Saccharomyces cerevisiae S288C: one gene and its partners. The protein of the gene in region 1 binds, or shares a complex with, the protein of each later gene. Each region holds a gene or a part of one and is shown in the gene's direction. Other genes may lie near its edges. The genes, in order: NIP100, ARP10, JNM1 and ARP1.

Region 1 (6,044 bases):
TTATGCAAGGAAAACTTTTATGGCTAGTGTATTGCACCTACCGGCAATTCTAATCCTAGCCATTATACATAAAAAAGGCCGCTGGGATTGGATATATCCTGGTGAAGCAAAGCGACCACAGGAACGATTTTAGCATTAGTACAATGAGATAAAGAGACAACGCTTAAAGGGCAGTCATTAATCTTGTAAATAAATATTTAAACCCTTTTATTGGTTAAAAATAATGTACATACGCACATAATTTATTTTTAAAGAAAAGATTTTGTAATTTGAAGTCATCACGTTTGCCCACATCAATATCTGAATATTCTTTGAACTTTACTTTATGCTTTCATATATACAGGTCGAATATAACTTATTTACTACGTGAATAGTGAAGGGGATATACTGATTAAAAAAATCACACTAGAGAATCAAATATAAAAATAGAGTGCATACACTTGGTACATTTATTCTCTTTTTTGTTTTTCCAAAAATTCAAAAACCCTCGCCCCAATAGCTTCCATGTCCTCTTCAGTTAGTTTTGGTACTTCTCTCTCAGCCAACTCCTTTTTTTCTGCCAAATGGCTTTTTCTTACCTCTGTTAGGGGCATCTCAGGTGCTACTAGCTTAGCTATATCTTTCGCTGTCAAGGTACCCCTTTTGTACTTAGAATGAGGATTGCGAATACTTGGTATTGCCTTTTTTGGAATAGGGTTTCTCACTACGGAATCGACCCAAAATGTTTGTTCTCTAGCAATTACAGGATCGGTAGCCAAGTTCGTTTGCACATCAATTGGGTCTGGTTTAGGCCATGGAATGATCAAGTCTGGTTGACCCTTTACGCATCTATATGGCATTACCTTTTTGTAGTCTGCATCATAGTAGGAACCATTGAAGGAAACATCCCTTACTGCCACCGTTCTTGTCTTTCCTGGGGTCTTTTCATCGTCAATATCAGCAACTAGCCTTAAATCCTTTCCCAAAATTGAAACTGGAATTGTTATCATGTGAGATGTTTGGCCTTCAAGCCAGAATTGTTTAGGAACTGGAACAGTCTTTGTGGGCCCATTCTCATCTAATATGAATGAATTTGTTCTTTTATCGAAAGATTTAATTACAGCTATATTTCCTTTGGAAGCCCCGCTCATTACTACTACTCTGTCGCCAGGTATAAACTTCCATTCTTTTTCACTCTTGAAACTAGTTTTCTCATCTACTTCCTTTAAATCTGACTTCATGAACTCAGGCGTAGATTTTTTAATGAACTTTTCACTATGAGGAAGAAAGTTTTTGGGTCGATTCCCCAATCTTTTCATAACACGCGATCCAACGTTTGATAAATGTTGATAGCTTCCAGACATGATGGATTACAAATTTTGTTGCTGATAATGTTCTTTACGGTGGATTACTCTTATCAGGTAATCCTTAAGTAGCTGTTAAAGAGCAGTAGGTACTTTTGAATCTAACATGTCGTTATTTTTCATGTCGCTTTTCAACCGGGTATTTTACAATGCTTAACAAAAAATGCATATATGTTGAAAAGTCACTTATGTAAACGTACAGTTGTAAGGTGCTTTCTTTTTACTCTAACCTCCACACTGAGATTGTTGGCGTAACTGTAGAGAGTTACTCATATGCTGCTAGACTTTATGTTGTACTTTACTTTTGCAAAGTACATAATACTATTCTAGATTCGATCTCCATCAACCTCGCAGTACAGCCTTGGACAAATGCGCAATGCAGGTGTTCAAGTTGACACAAATATGCAGAAGATAAGCTTACAGGACACAGTTCTAGTCAACGAGATGAAGGGGCGGGTGAAATTCATTGGGGAAACTCAATTTGCAAAAGGCATATGGTACGGCATTGAACTAGATAAACCGTTAGGAAAGAATGATGGAAGCGCTAACGGTATTCGTTACTTTGATATCGACCTGAAGAAAGCTAATTCAAATGGTGGTTATTATGGTCTTTTCTGCAAGAAAGATACGTTGCAGTTTTATAAACCAGATGACGATGAGCATAGTTTGCTAAATGGTAATGCAGCGCAAGAAACAATTAAGAATCTACAAGTAAAATGTGAATCATTGGCGTCCAAATTAAATAAAATTAAAATAGAAAATCATGAGCTGAAAACTTCCGTTGAAAAGCTGAGTACTAATGAAACTGTTCTATTGTCTAAAATCTCAAGATTGGATAAACTAGTCAAAGAACTGAAAGTGGAAAATGGTAATATGAAAACTCATTTGGATAATTTCAATCACCTATTAGATGCTTCAGATAGTGTAATGGCACCGGATCTCGACAAAGGCACACTGTTAGAAAGGAGCCATCTTCTTCAGGGACTACTCGACCAAACAAAGTTGTCATATGATAAAGCTATGAAGGTGCAAGAGGACCTGCTCGAGGAGAATACTCAGTTATTAGAAGAAAATGCAGTATTATCTAAAAAAATATCGGATTTAGGTCTGCAATTGCAACAGACTAATAATACAATCGGCGACCTTGCCTTGCAGATTGAAGCTCAAAGTAAATCATCTAATATTGTTGATAAATTGACTAATGATAATATCCTACTCACAAGTAATATAAAGGCTTTAAACAATGAGTTGGAGGAACTACAGGCAAAAGAAAAATTGGATGAAAATTTAAGAATTACCTATGAGCAACTCGAGCAAGAACTGAGACTGCAATTAAGTAATTTGCAATCTGCATTGGAAAATGAAAAGGAGATAGCAGGCACATATATCGAAGAAAATTCAAGATTAAAAGCAACATTGGAATCTATTGAAGCCAAAACATCTCACAAATTTCAAAGTCTTGAACTAAAAGTGAACACTTTACAGGAGGAATTATATCAAAATAAATTGCTAAAGAAATTTTACCAAATATATGAGCCATTTGCACAACCACATTTGGCGGCTCTTTCCTCTCAATTGCAATATTTAGCCGAAGTAATCGAAAGTGAAAATTTTGGAAAGTTGGAGAATATTGAAATCCATATAATTCTAAAAGTGTTGAGCTCTATCAGTTATGCGCTTCATATTTACACCATAAAGAATACTCCCGATCACCTGGAAACGACATTACAATGTTTCAAAGTAAATATTGCTCCGATTTCGATGTGGCTAAGCGAGTTTTTGCAAAGGAAGTTTTCTTCTAAACAGGAAACCGCCTTTTCCATTTGTCAGTTTTTAGAAGATAATAAGTTTCTAGATAAGGATGTGACCTTGATACTAAAAATACTTCATCCGATATTGGAAACAACTGTTCCGAAGCTGTTGGCTTTTCTTAGAACGAACAGCAATTTCAATGACAATGATACCCTATGTCTTATTGGTTCCCTTTACGAGAGATCACTTTCACTTATTGCCAGAATAGATAAACTTATCGGAAAGGAAGAAATTTCGAAACAAGACAATAGGTTATTTTTATATCCTTCCTGTGATATAACCCTGTCCTCTATCTTAACGATACTTTTTTCAGATGCACTGTTTTTGCGACAAGATTACAAACGTATTTCTTCTTTGAAAAAACTAGAGGTATTTTTTCAAGGAATAGAAAGTCTCTTAGAAAACATAACTATATTTCCTGAGCAACCCAGTCAACAAACAAGTGATTCAGAAAGTCAATGTAATATTAAGGAGGGCAATTTTTCAAACTCGTTATTAAGCGATCGCTTGAATGAAGAGAACATTCGACTCAAAGAAGTACTGGTCCAAAAGGAAAATATGCTAACTGAATTGGAAACAAAAATTAAAATTATTATTGGGAGGGATTTAGAGAGGAAAACCCTTGAAGAGAATATCAAAACACTCAAAGTAGAGTTAAATAACAAAAATGAGGAAAATTGTGGCAAAACAGAAATTCTTAACAAGCTGAAAGAAGAAAATTTCAACCTAGTAAACCGTTTGAAGAATATGGAGCTCAAACTATATCAAATAAAGGATAATAATACGTTGAACAAAATTTATTTAGACAGAGAGAAAGTAGATAGAGTAAATTTAGTTTCGGAAATCATGGAATTGAGAGAAACCATAAGACGACAAATAAAAGAGCAGAAACGAGTGAGCATCGATTTCAGCTGGTTAGACGAGCTTCCAGCTGTGGAAAATAAGCAACCATTCAAAGAACATATCAACCACAGTTTGGACACCTTGGGGATAGAAATGTTCAACTTCGTGAGTACCTCACGGATTTTAGATTTAAAGCTTGATCAACCTTTGGCAGAAGATGAACTCTGGCATGAAAGAGATCATTCTTACATTTCGTATTTAAAGCGCAAGAGGAAAAATATACGACTCAAATCTCAAAATGTTGTTACATATTACAAATGACTGAGTGATTCTAGCAGGTCTATAACATTCAAATACAGTAAATAAATGGATACAACATTCCTTTGTTTTGTGTAAAGTTTAAGTTTCTCTTGCTTCCTTCGTCTCGTTAGACACTGTTTTCTTGGGCCATTTTGGAGCTAGATCGATTTCATCCCTGGGGTATAGCCACTCTAAGAGGAAAAAAAGCATGTACTCTACAATTCCACATAACAGATAAAGATGTTTAGCCCAGATTCCATCTCTTTTGTAAAGATTTGCTACCATTTTCATCCAATCTTTATCATCAGCGGAAGAAGTAGAAGATATATTAGTATATATCTCTACTGTCCTTTTGGCTACGTCCATCCAGTCGTACATTTTAGACACGCTATCATGAAAAGAGGAAGTGTCCAAAGCTTTACTTCTTATGATATTGATAGCTTTATTTGTTGCTTGAACAAGGTCAGAAACGGATGTCTGTTCTGCATAAACAGTCATCTCATTTGGTAACACTTCGGGAATTCCTCCGACTTGTGTCGTTACAATTAGCAAATTACAAGATGCGGCCTCAACTAGAATTGTACCAAATGCTTCTGTTAAACTAGCGTGTAAATATATGTCACCTTGACATAATACATCCCTGACTTTCTCATGTGGAACAGAGCCTAAGAGTTGCACACGTTTTTGTAGTCTATGACTTTCAATCATTTGTTGAAAATCTATGAACTTTGGACCATCGCCCGCTACTATAAATTCGACATCTTCATGTGAGGAACAAACTTTCGGAATTATGCGAGTAAGTAAATCGGACCCTTTGTTTGGAAAGAGCCTTCCGATGACCACGATCACTATCTTATCCCTACTTTGTTTTCTCTTGGTGCCACCAGTAGGATCCCTTGGTTTGAAATCTTCGCTCACCACTGCGTTGGGAATTACTGAGATTATATCAGGACTTAATTCTGTTCTAACAATCATATTTTCTTTGCATGTATTAGAAACACATATAACCCGATCTATGTTTGTCAAGGTAAATGTTAGCAACTTATTCACCCAAATCGACGTTAAGTTATTAAAACCGTAGAGTGAATGGTCCGTGAACACAGTTCTCAATCCCATAGTATTAGCATGAAGAATTCCCTCGTGAGCGAACGTGGAAGCGCTACCATGAGAATGAACAATTTGGATCTGCTCTCTGAGAAGAATATTCCTTATTATTGGAAATGTTGAAAAAACAGTGGGGAAAGTGGTTTCTCTGAAAATCACAAAAAATGGTACGTGATAGACCTTTAGACCGTTGGTAAGATGTCGTACGCCGACTCGATCTTTGTAAGCGTGAGTTATAATGACGACAGAATGGCCCAAATCGATTAGTTTCTGCGATAAATGATATATATGGAATTCGACTCCACCTAACTGTGGATAAAAAAAGTCGCACAGCATCCTATTTTCATTGTTATAACTCTCAACTTTACTGGTTAGTATCAACAACAAAAGAGATCTTCTTTAATGTATTTGGAACACATGCTGTGAGCTAGACATACGCTATATTGAAGCCCATTGTTTTATATAATAATGTTAGAGTTAGCTAAGCTGTAGTTTATAGTATCTCGTATTTTTGCATAAGTTTTTTGAGGCTATTACTGGCATCGATTATTTTTAAATCGTATCAATGAAATTTTCTAGCTCGACAGTCTCGGGTTGCAAACGAAAAACTTAAAATAGCAGAATGAGATTATTCAATGAAAA
Region 2 (4,108 bases), on another chromosome or scaffold:
GAAGCTAGTCACTCTCTGCGCGTACTTAACATCGTCTTCAACAACATTAACGATAGAATCCATATTTCGAAATGTTTCGAAGACAAATCCCTTTCTTTTACAATCACTGTATGCTGACTTTTGTTATTGATATTTTCACCAGACATTTCTTTAGCCACAATGATTTTGTTTTACCATATCTTTGAAGCACGGCGCAAACTCCGAATATCGCATAAAGAAGGTTGAGAGAATGTTTTCTACCTTTAAAAGAAGAAAAGAGATCCTTCGAAAACGGTCGATCGATAATAACTGTAATTGGCATTTCAAATAAATAGAGGATAGTTAAAATAATCCTCGAGAAGCGATATCTCAATTAGATAATTAAGATCCATTTTTTTTTGAGGGAGGTTTACTCATCTTCTTGAAACTAGTGCATGAGTATAGTAAAATTAGTGTTTCTACTGGGGGCTACTTAAAAAAAAGTTACATACATTATAAGAAAATCTTTTTGTGTTAGTCTATTTAATAGTAATTCTCGTAATCAAATCTATCGGGCATAATCGCTGGGGCTACCACTGTCCAACCGTAAAGGGCATAACATATCCATGCACTAACTATTTTTACCCAAGAATAAAAATATGTTCTTCCTACGGGTATAAAATCACCTACATCATCCTGGGTAACGTTTATTGTTAGTAAAATTGCAATCCACTGGGTTGCCAGAAAGAATATAACGTGGAACAGAGTGTAATTGTACTTGGTTCCAGTCCTTTCATCATCATTTTGGTTATCCATTGCGCCTGTAGGAGATGATGTCCCTAACCAAGCGGTATCATATAAGGCACTTTCCGGTAAAGATCCTTCTTCTACAGCTTGTTTAATAGCTTCATACCTCAACTGATTTCTTGTCTGTCCACCTAGTCCTTCGTACTCGATATCATTCCCGAGATATATAGCACCATTAGTATTGGTGCCTTGAAAAGCACTATTAGCAGCGGCTCTAGTTGTGGTGTAAGCAATCGCAATAAAAGTAAATAAAGAGCCCAAAATGATACTAAACTTACGGGTTCCACTAGATCTAACCAACGGATTACACATTTTGTCATCCGGTTCGGAAGACATGGCACTCATTGTCAAATAAGTACAGTAAACAGAAACCATACTACTTTGGGCCAGCCCACTTTTAGGGTTGGCCTCTTGGATCTTAGGATTCACCGATAAGACAAGCGTTATAACAGTTAATATTAAATTGACTGTTACCGCTGTTTGATTCATGTTACATTGTTGATGACAAAACATAACATACATAACAACAGTCATGATAATCGATGCGGTATACATTGAAGTTGTCCCTAAAACCAAAAATCGTTGCCAGAATGAGGAATCTTCATCTTCTGACTCAACGTGACTAATACACGTTTCAGCCCACTCATGAGCGAAGTCTACTAATAATATAAGCCCAACCAGGATGAAAATTGCTCCACTAGGGACTGACACCCACTTGGAAAAGAAAATATAAAAGTCATTGGGGATGACAAATGACAAAACAATGAGACATAAATACAGTATAAATTTTAAACTCCACCACGAATTCTGTAATGCTGCTCTTACGTCATTAGTCGACTTTACGCCCGTTAGTACAAGCGCCAATATCAAATGTAAGCATCCCAATGCAAAATTCAACCTATGAACTGTAAAAAATCCACATTCCCCAGTCCCAGTACATGTCTTCCCTGGCCATAGGATTGATTTGTTCGCAGAATAGGACACCCATGATATCAATGAGTTAAGTAAAAGCCAAACGGCGTACAGAAGTCTTGTCCCTAAAGAAGAAGATCCTAGGGAAGATGCAGTCTTAGTCACCAAGTTTGAGCAGCAACCTCCAAAACAGGACGCCACGAATGAGCCCGCCATGCTAACTGGCAAAGAAATTACGGCACCCATGGTAGATTGTTGTACTTTGTGATGGGTATTTTGATATGAAGTAAATCTGTTGTTTGATTATAAACTTCGTTTTGGGGGCATAAAGACCTCAAAAACAGTTCTCTTTTTTGTTAGAATCTAATTGTCGGAACTTCTATTGTAGCCGAGAGACATAAACAAAAGAGGTACAAATACTACAATATTCGACACTGTGAAATGATAAAAAAAATCTACCCAGGAAACCCTATGAGGAAATGTCGAATACTATTGTGATAGTCTATTTGGGAGCTAACAGAATCGAAATTGGAAGAAGTGCTGATGCGTGTCCACAAGAAATTATCGCCTGGAAAACAGGTAGTATTAATGAAAAAAATAGGGAAGAATTGAAAAAAATATTTGAACATTACTTCCAAATTTGCAACATCTTGGGAAATCGAGAAGTACAAGTGTTGATACTAGAAGATATCTTCATTTCTGTAGTAGAGAAAAGAATTATTTGTAGCATCTTGTTTAAGGAATTTGACTGCGCTCACGTTTCGTTTGTCCCCAGGGCCATTGTGCACTGCTTATCCTGTAATACAAGGAATGCCATAGTTATAGATATAGGTACCAATTATACTACATGCGTACCTATTTTCGACCTTAGACCTTTGCAACAGTTCATAAAATACTCAAAACGAGGCAAAAGACAGGTTGAGTCAAGAATTCCTCTCCCGGGCAGTCTCTACATGCCAATATTTTTTGACGAAGAATACAACTCTAAAAATTGTGAAGTAGATGAAACCCCGGTAATAAATCTTGTCAAAAATATTGTAGAGTCACTTCCTATCGACTTGAGAAGGCCACTGAGAGAAAATATCATTATAGTAAACATTGAAGAGGCGTATGAAACAGTAATAAGGAATTTATTCAAGTTAAAAATGGATACGTCCAAAATCCAGTTTCCTAAAAATTACTGGCAGGCTGGTTCTGCATGCGCGAAAATACTTCTGCACTATAAGGGGAGCAACATTGTAGGAATAGAAAGAGATGAGTTTTATAACAATCCTCATATTGCTCCTGATTGGTTTGATTATTACTTCAGAACTGGAGTGAAGCGCTTACAATAGGCTTTATGTATATGTAGAAAACAAAAACAGGAAGTGTTCTCTTCACCAAACTGCGTCTTTCCACAACAATTAGCCTTATTGAGCTTTTGATGTAAAAGTTTATGATAGTAAAGAGCTATTTTTAACAATAGAGGAGAAAAAATAAAAATGGTCTCTAGCGGGATCGAACCGCTGATCCCCGCGTTATTAGCACGGTGCCTTAACCAACTGGGCCAAGAGACCAATTTGGATCGAAAGTGTTGTATCTCAAAATGAGATATGTCAGTATGACAATACGTCATCCTAAACGTTCATAAAACACATATGAAACAACCTTATAACAAAACGAACAACATGAGATAAAACACGGCCTTCCCTAGCTGAACTACCCAAACGTATAAATGCTTGAACAATTAGTTTAGATCCGAGATTCCGCGCTTCCACCACTTAGTATGATTCATATTTTATATAATATATAAGATAAGTAACATTCCGTGAATTAATCTGATAAACTGTTTTGACAACTGGTTACTTCCCTAAGACTGTTTATATTAGGATTGTCAAGACACTCCGGTATTACTCGAGCCCGTAATACAACAGAAAGTTAACCATTAATATTTCACCTAATTACACACTCTCCTAAAGAATTTGGATTTGATAACTATCATGTCATTTGAAAGAGTAACTCGTTTTCAGATTTATTATTGCCGGAATAAAAATAAATAAATATATCGAATAATATTCTTTATTATTAATGTCGAATGAGTTGTTAGAAGACTTCATAACAATTATCGGATTTAATGGAAGCTGAAGTGCAAGAATTGATAATTTAATAAGATAATGAATTTAATATAAAATATAAACGGAGAGAGAATAATGTTGTTATATAGAATTGTTGATTCCCTTTTGCGGATTTCTTATATCCTCGAGGAAAACTTCTAATATATATCCAATATAATCGTTTCCAAATTGTGAAAGAAAAAAAAATCTTCAATACAGTGTATTAGTGCTACATAAAAACGCGTTAAAACTTGCATTCCAATTTATCAAAAAGTTTGCCAGGACATATAGGATATAAATGCATTGCGAAGTAAAACACTTCTCAAAAAATTAAAAAA
Region 3 (3,368 bases), on another chromosome or scaffold:
AGATTAATTTTTTCGAACTTTCTATAGGTATAAAGTAAAAATAATAATATTTACATGATTAACGTTGTCCTCACAAATTTATGATATTGACTCGACAAAATCTAACACAGTGGAATCATCACCATATTGACCTACTACCTGTAAGCCAATCGGGGTCTTCTCTTTTAAAGGCATTGATAAACTTGGTAGTCCAGCCAATGACATTGGGACAGTAAAGACATCGTTTATATACGAGTTAGCCGGAGATTTGGCTTCCTCTTCTTCGAAGTCCCTTATGGATCCAGGAAGCTTGGACGATGTGGGAACTATCAGTAGATCTAGGCCGTCTGGATTTCCCTTAGAATTAGTTAAAACATTTGGAAATCTGAAGATCCCGTCAAATTCATCGATCAAATTAACTCGTAGCTTTTCTGCCTTAATAAAATTGTTCTTAAATGCATCTGAACAAAGATTATAATTACCTAGAATGATTCTATTCTTAACTTCTGTTCCGAATTTGGACCTAGTAGGTGCGAATAAAATACCGTCTTTTATATCGAGTTCTGAATCTCTGTATCCATATCTGATACCATCATACCTTGATAAATTGGAAGCCGCTTCAGCGGGTGATAGCGTATAATAAATCGGTAAACAGTTTTTTACAGATGGAATGGATACAGGGTATATTTCAAGCCCTAAATTTATCAGCTTTTCTAGTAAGGATAAATATAATCTGTGGAACCCAATGGGCATACTTTCATGGCTAAATTCCTTTACAATTCCTACCTTTAAAGGTCTCCTAACCTTTTTATTCCCTTCTATCAATTCACGCAATTCCACACTTAAGGAAGTGGGATCTTTCATGTCATATTTATCGAGCGTATGAAATACTTTTCGCAAGACGTTTATCTTTTTGCTAAGTATGCCAACAGTGTCTAAAGATTGAGAATACGCTATTACGCCAAATCTTGACAACCGTCCATAGGACGGCTTGAATCCTAAAACAGATCCATAGCATGCGGGGAGCCTAACGGAGCCACCAGTATCTGTTCCCAAGGCAAAATCGACTAGATCGCAAGCAACGCTTGCAGCGGCTCCAGACGATGAACCTCCCATGATCTTCTTGTCCTCATGAGGATATAAAGGGTTAATTACGGGCCCTCTTATTGAATGTACTCCCCCAGAACCCATTCCAAATTCATCTAAATTTGTCTTGCCTAAGATATGCACTCCTGCCTGTTTTAATAGTTTCACTACTGTTGCATCGAAGGGAGACTTGAAATTCTCAAGTATATGTGAGGCACATGTGGTTGGAAAATCTTTTGTAACTATATTATCCTTGATACTGGCAACGCAACCTGTCAATGTTTCTTTTGTACCTTTTTTATTTGTGATTGAATAAGGAGATGGATTGATACTAGTGAAAATATTATATTTTGATTGAAAACTAGATAATCTTTCGATTGATTCTTTTAAGGAGCGTTTCAGTGGCATTTTTGTATAATCAAAGTTAGGACTCCAATTGAGGGGCCATCTTTCCAGCACAAATAATAGTGTTTACAAGTATAGATGTACTATTACTTTTTTGGGAGCCAATGCATTTCAAAAAAAAAAAGAAGAGCAGATAAGTCATGAGGCTAAGAAAGATAAAGAAATCTACTGGTTGATGAACGTCATAGATTTAAGTGATCCTGCCATCAATGTGGATTATGATAGCTTGATTGGCATTGACAATGAGGAATCTCAAGAAATTTTTGAAAATGAAGTGAAGGAAGATGGACAACAAGAAGAGCAGGAAGAAGCATCTTCAAGAAAAGATGGGCTCATCGTTGAACCAGGGAGAGATGTTGAGAGTTTGAGAAGGGCTATTCGAGATCAGTTGCTTTTCAAGATACATAGACAAAACCAATCAGACTGTGCAGATGCGAGAAAGTTGAGTAACGATGAAGAAGATGAAAGTCGGCAACAGAAATTAGAAAGAATAAGAGAAGAATTGGAGGAGTTGAAAATAGAAAATTTAACATCTGAAATGCAAACTGAAATCAAGGAATTGTGCGAAATTCAATCAAAATTGGCGACGGAATCATCTAGTAGATTGACAAATTTGAGGAAGAAGCTTCTCGAAACATATGAAGGCCAAGATACCGTCATATTGCCAAACATAATTCTTGATACGAGTAATATCAAAAGATTGCAAAAGTTAGATCAGAAAATATCCCTAATGGAACGTTTTGTTGGCATACCAGAAGCTTTGGAGGCAGAAGAAGATAGGAAATCGGTTCATAGTAAAGTCAATGAACTATATAGAAGTATTCAACTTTTACAAGGCGATGATAAGGCGGAAGGAAAGCTGCAAAAGTTCCGGGATAGACTCGTAGAACTGAACGAGGAATTTGAAAACTCATTGTTAGGCAAGAAAATACAACAGGACTTGAGGTTGAAAGATGACACCGTGAGCAAGCTTGTTATGCCCGAAAACAAAGTAAAGGAGATAAATAGTATGTATTCCATGTTCAAGCAATATCAAGATTCACTACCACTGTTGGCGGAGAGGATGAAAAGTCTCAATAAAATGAACAACAGGGTGATCGAGGTGTACGAAACCACGAAAGGGCTGGATTCACAAATAACCAGCATCCAAGAACAAGGAAAAGTTTGGCTAAAGGCTTTAAATGAGCTGGATAAAAAATTCGATGAACAAGAGGTTAAAATTCGCGAAAATATGGAGCAGATCAGGCGTAAAATTGATACCCTCGAAGACGAAGCTCTACAGAGAAATAGCAAATAAAAGGCGGAGAAATAATTTTATAAACCAATTTAATTTCATTCTTCATTTTTTCGTCTCCATATGACAAAAAAATTGAAAATATGTGTGTGTATGTATATATAATAATAGTAATAATAACAATATGAAATATGAAATATCCAAAATAAGAGCGGAAAACAGAAATTATCATAAAAAAGAAAAAAATAAAGTCTCTAAAGGGTATCAAGCGCTTATTTCTTCTTCATTCTACCAAACAATCCCTTCTTCTTCTTCTTTTGCTTTTCCTCAGTCTGTACGTGTTGTTGTGGCTGATACACTGCTTGTTCACCATACATTTGACTGGAAGCACCACCCACTTGCTGTGGCATACCGTTCGCATCGTAAGTCACAGCAGCACCAAACACAGGGAAATCAGGTCTTACGCGGAACCCGTAAGTTGGAGTCTCCAACTGTTGGGCCCAGACCGGGTCTCCGGAGACAGCATACTCGAAACTTCTTATAGTGTCCAAAGGTCTTTCGTCTCTTGCCCTAGTTGGATTCGATATATCTGCCTGTGTGATGGGTTGACCGAAAACATCACACAGAACATGACCTTCTTCGTTGGAAAAATAAGATTGTCTGT
Region 4 (4,553 bases), on another chromosome or scaffold:
GATGAACACCATGAATCAAGCGGGGGAGATCATCCAGAGCCTGGTGTTCCAGTAAATACCACCATTAAAGTAGAGCGTCCAATGCACAGAAATAGAGCTATTTCCATGCCCCAAAGACAGTCATTGAGGCGTGCAATTAGCGAGGAGGTTGTCCCCATCAAATTTCCAAATAGCACAGTGGGTGAATCAGTTCATTCACCCTCTCCTATTGAGCATCTTTCCGTTGATGGCTGCGAGATTATGCTGCAATCACAAAATGCGGTTATGAAAGAGGAATTACGGAGTGTTGCGTCGAATTTGGTAGCCAATGAAAGGGATGAGGCATCTATTAGACCTAAACCTCAAAGCTCTTCGATATACCTATCAGGATTAGCTCCTAATGGGGAATCCGCCACAGATTTATCCCAAAGCAGTAGGTCGTTATGTCTCACAAACCGTGACGCTGAAATCAATGACGATGAAAGCGCTACTGAGACCGATGAGGACGAAAATGACGGTGAAACCGATGAATATGCTGGCGATGATACTAATGATGATACTGATGACAGTAATATTGGTTATGCTTATGGCAGTGAAAGTGATTATTCATGTTTAATTGAAGAACGAATAAGAAATCGAAGGCGAGCATCTTCTACTCTAAGTTGCTTCTCCAATATACCTTACGGAACGGATGATATTAAATGGAAACCAGCTATTAAGGAAATTTCAAGAAGGCGTTATTTGAGGGATTCTCTGAAGTGCATCAAACCATTTCTAGATAGTAACGACTGTTTGGGTAAGGTTATCTATATTCCAGTTTCGGGACCAACCTTTGAAACAAGTAATAAAATTCACTTTAGCAACCGCCAGAGCTTACAGAAGCAGAAGAATCATTTTTTAAAAGGCTTCATCGTGGGACCTACGGCGTTGATAGAACTTAATTGTAAAAATAAGAATGCAATTGTTGGAACAACAAAGGACGCTGAAGATCATGGGGAGGACGACGGTGACGGTGATGATGGTGAGGATGATGATGACGACGACGACGATGATGATGATGATGACGACGACGAAGACGACGACGATGATGATGATGATGATGATGACGACGACGATGACGATGATGATGGACAGATTACTGCATAAGCTGTGATGCAGTAATCTTGTTTTTGCAGAATTAATATCATGACTAAAAGTATATATATTATCATCGGATATATGCTACATGATGAGGAGTTTTTCTATTTCTTTTTTATTTCATTCTATACACTTTGGATCGTGTTTTTTCTTTTGCACTTGAGTTTCTTTTCAACATTATCATTCGGTATATTTCACGATTTTGACACCGATGTTTACATAAAAGTGGGTAATTATATTTTGCATTTTCTCGAATTGAGTAAAAATAGTAACCTTTTAAAGAATTCTTCAGAAATGTTAAAGCATTTCCGATTGGCATCATTGATGTATATGTACGTATATACTCAGATGATTTGCCCCTCGTTACTTGGCATCAGGAATTAGCAAGGGCTGTAAAAAATAAGTTTAAATATATATAAATGGTTGCGAACTAAGACAGTATTGTTTTCAACTATTACTTTGTCATTGACTAGTCTATACAAACTAATGATTTTCTACTAGGTCTTACTTCGATTTCTCGACACCGTACTCCAAGAGCTAAAGCTTTCAATACGTATGGATTGCTTCGTTGCTCAGAAAGGTTAACATTAATCATTTTAAGGTTTTTGTTTATAGACAGTACTTTATTTTCGCTTCATTTTTCCAGTTTATATTTCAATTTAACAAAGGCAATGCCTCTAATTTCAAACAAGCAACATAATACAGTATTTATTGATCAACGTTTGATTAGAAGTTGAATTTTGAATGGGTATCGTCTGGTAATTCCAAAGAATAAAAGAAATACCTGTTTTACCATGATAAACAGTGTTTATTATACCACGTTAAAAATCATTTCTTGAAGGTAACGCTTTCATCAACCTATAATAAGACTACAGAAAAAAGCTCATAAAAGAATGCTAAGTAGCATAATGTTCTGAACAAGAGCTCAAAGCAAAGGACACAGTACACCTGTGTGACGGTGAGTTTCCTATTGCCTTCTCTTTTTCCGTTTGTATTAATCTTTTCAAGAAAAAGTTCATTTCCAAAGTGGCCATTTTCGCGATGCACATCAATAATGATAAACACCTTTATTGAATAATAGCGAAGCAAATAGCAGATATTCCCAATAAAACAGCAAATTAATAAAAGGGCATAGACCAAGGAGTACATGCTAATGCTATACCACGAATTGAGGAATTAGAAAGAAAGTTAGCCAATGGACCAGCTAAGTGACAGCTATGCTTTGTACAATCAACCGGTAGTGATCGACAATGGTTCTGGGATCATAAAAGCAGGATTTAGTGGTGAGGAAAGGCCTAAAGCACTGGAATATTGTCTCGTAGGAAATACCAAATATGATAAAGTTATGCTCGAAGGTCTGCAAGGAGATACATTTATTGGAAACAATGCCCAAAAACTGCGTGGATTATTAAAATTACGATACCCCATAAAGCACGGCGTGGTGGAAGATTGGGATTCTATGGAACTAATATGGTCATATGTGTTAAATGAAGTCCTACAGTTGCAAAATATAGGTGAGCATCCTTTATTAATTACGGAAGCCCCGATGAATCCTTTGAAGAATAGAGAGCAGATGGCTCAAGTATTGTTCGAGACCTTTGACGTATCGGCTTTGTACGTTTCAAACCCTGCTGTTCTGTCATTATATGCTAGTGGGAGAACTACAGGTTGTGTAGTTGACTGTGGTGAAGGATACTGTAGCACTGTTCCCATATATGACGGCTTTGCATTACCTGCGTCTATGATGAGGATGGATATTGGAGGAGCAGATATCACAGAGCAGTTACAATTTCAACTACGGAAATCAGCTGGTGTTTCGTTGTTTTCCAGCAGTGAACGAGAGATTGTTCGCACGATGAAAGAGAAAGTTTGTTATTTGGCCAAGAATATTAAAAAGGAAGAGGAGAAATACTTACAAGGTACTCAAGATTTAATCTCGACATTCAAATTGCCCGACGGGAGGTGTATAGAGGTGGGGAATGATCGATATCGTGCTCCAGAAATATTATTTTCACCTCAAATCATCGGCTTAGGGTACGATGGATTATCTGATATGTGCATGCAATCTATTTGGAAAGTCGATCTGGATTTAAGGAAACCTTTACTGTCATCGATAATCCTAAGTGGCGGAACTACAACGCTTAAAGGCTTTGGAGACCGAATGCTATGGGATTTGGAGGCATTAACCAAAGGAACATCCAAGATAAAGATTATAGCCCCTTCAGAAAGAAAATATACTACATGGATTGGTGGTTCTATTTTAACGGGGTTATCTACCTTTCAAAGACTTTGGACCAAAAAGTCAGATTGGCTAGAGGACAGTACCCGTGTTTATTCGAACCTAATGTAAGAAACAGAGTCGTTAGATTTTTCAAGCATATTTGTTATAAATAGCCATTGATACGTTTATATTATTTTTACAAAAAAAGGTAATTAAACATGCATGAACAACAAAATTGATAGTAGAAGAGACGGCAACAAAGGTTTAAAACGAGAAAGGAAATTTAAAACAGTAGAAACCAAAAGTTGATATGCGGCTTCAGCCGTTCTGAACCTTCAAGATGGTGTTCGGGTGTGATTTATTTAAACACAGTAGTATCTGTCACCAAAGTCACCCAACCCTGGAACTAGATACTTGTTTTCATCTAGACCTCTGTCGAGGGCACCAGTAACAATTCTGACCTCTGGGAAGGCGGCATGGTATTTTTCAATCCCTTCCTTACTACAGATTAGGTTTAAGAAGTAAATTCTCTCTGGCTTAACACCTCTCTTAATCAAGACTTCTGTAGCCATGATAGCACTACCACCGGTGGCCAGCATTGGGTCTAATAGGAAGACATACCTTTCAGATATATCCTCTGGTAATTTTTCGTAGAATAACTTTGGTAAAGCAGTCTCCTCGTCCCTTTGAATTAAAATTTTACCGATACGCACAGACCTACAACAGTCTCTTAATCCTTGCTCCATCGATTCACCAGCTCTGACAATGGAAACACCACAGATTTTACCCATGAATGAGACACCTTCGAAGTTTTCGTTGGTGTCAGTTTCCACAATTTGCTTTTGCACAGGTAGATGGTTCAAACCTTCTTCAACCAACAATCTGATGATTCTATCGGAGTAGAAAATGAAATCAGGTCTAGTTGTATTCTTATTTCTGATGATGGTGTACAAACCCAGCAATTGGTTTGTTTGAGGTAGCAAGTAGACGTTCTTAAATGGTTCCGAAGACATTTTTTGCAGATTTCTAGGTTTGCTAACGAAAGACCCTTTGTTTGGATAATATATAAGATATGTAAGGTACAAGAATGGAGAAGCCAAAAAGAATAACGGGTTCATGGTTCAAGAAGAAATGAAGCTAGTATTGGAAGAGGATTCTTACCAATATATATATCTCTTTTGAGGCAGCTTTGAAAGAAGAAGTGAAAAAAAAAAAA

Evidence for each region.
Region 2: NIP100 (region 1) and ARP10 share a complex: the UniProt entries of both Saccharomyces cerevisiae proteins name them as parts of the dynactin complex.
Region 3: NIP100 (region 1) and JNM1 share a complex: the UniProt entries of both Saccharomyces cerevisiae proteins name them as parts of the dynactin complex.
Region 4: NIP100 (region 1) and ARP1 share a complex: the UniProt entries of both Saccharomyces cerevisiae proteins name them as parts of the dynactin complex.

What each region holds. Positions count from the first base shown.
Region 1 is NC_001148.4:218,442-224,485, reverse strand, and holds NIP100 (Nip100p), read left to right. Parts: upstream 1-1,712; coding exon 1,713-4,319; downstream 4,320-6,044. Other genes in the region: COX10 (protoheme IX farnesyltransferase), read left to right, coding at 1-133; mitochondrial 54S ribosomal protein uL24m MRPL40, read right to left, coding at 450-1,343; phosphatidylinositol N-acetylglucosaminyltransferase SPT14, read right to left, coding at 4,398-5,739, 5,840-5,856. UniProt on the Saccharomyces cerevisiae protein: Motor-binding component of the dynactin complex which assists cytoplasmic dynein by increasing its processivity and by regulation of its cargo binding.
Region 2 is NC_001136.10:664,848-668,955, forward strand, and holds ARP10 (Arp10p), read left to right. Parts: upstream 1-2,156; coding exon 2,157-3,011; downstream 3,012-4,108. Other genes in the region: SPO71 (Spo71p), read right to left, coding at 1-63; TMS1 (Tms1p), read right to left, coding at 502-1,923. UniProt on the Saccharomyces cerevisiae protein: Pointed-end-associated component of the dynactin complex which assists cytoplasmic dynein by increasing its processivity and by regulation of its cargo binding.
Region 3 is NC_001145.3:855,321-858,688, forward strand, and holds JNM1 (Jnm1p), read left to right. Parts: upstream 1-1,645; coding exon 1,646-2,767; downstream 2,768-3,368. Other genes in the region: glutamyl-tRNA(Gln) amidotransferase subunit HER2, read right to left, coding at 79-1,473; GSR1 (Gsr1p), read right to left, coding at 2,977-3,368. UniProt on the Saccharomyces cerevisiae protein: Component of the dynactin complex which assists cytoplasmic dynein by increasing its processivity and by regulation of its cargo binding.
Region 4 is NC_001140.6:361,912-366,464, reverse strand, and holds ARP1 (actin-related protein 1), read left to right. Parts: upstream 1-2,311; coding exon 2,312-3,466; downstream 3,467-4,553. Other genes in the region: YHR131C (uncharacterized protein), read left to right, coding at 1-1,125; YHR130C (uncharacterized protein), read left to right, coding at 1,165-1,500; FUR1 (uracil phosphoribosyltransferase), read right to left, coding at 3,700-4,350. UniProt on the Saccharomyces cerevisiae protein: Core component of the dynactin complex which assists cytoplasmic dynein by increasing its processivity and by regulation of its cargo binding.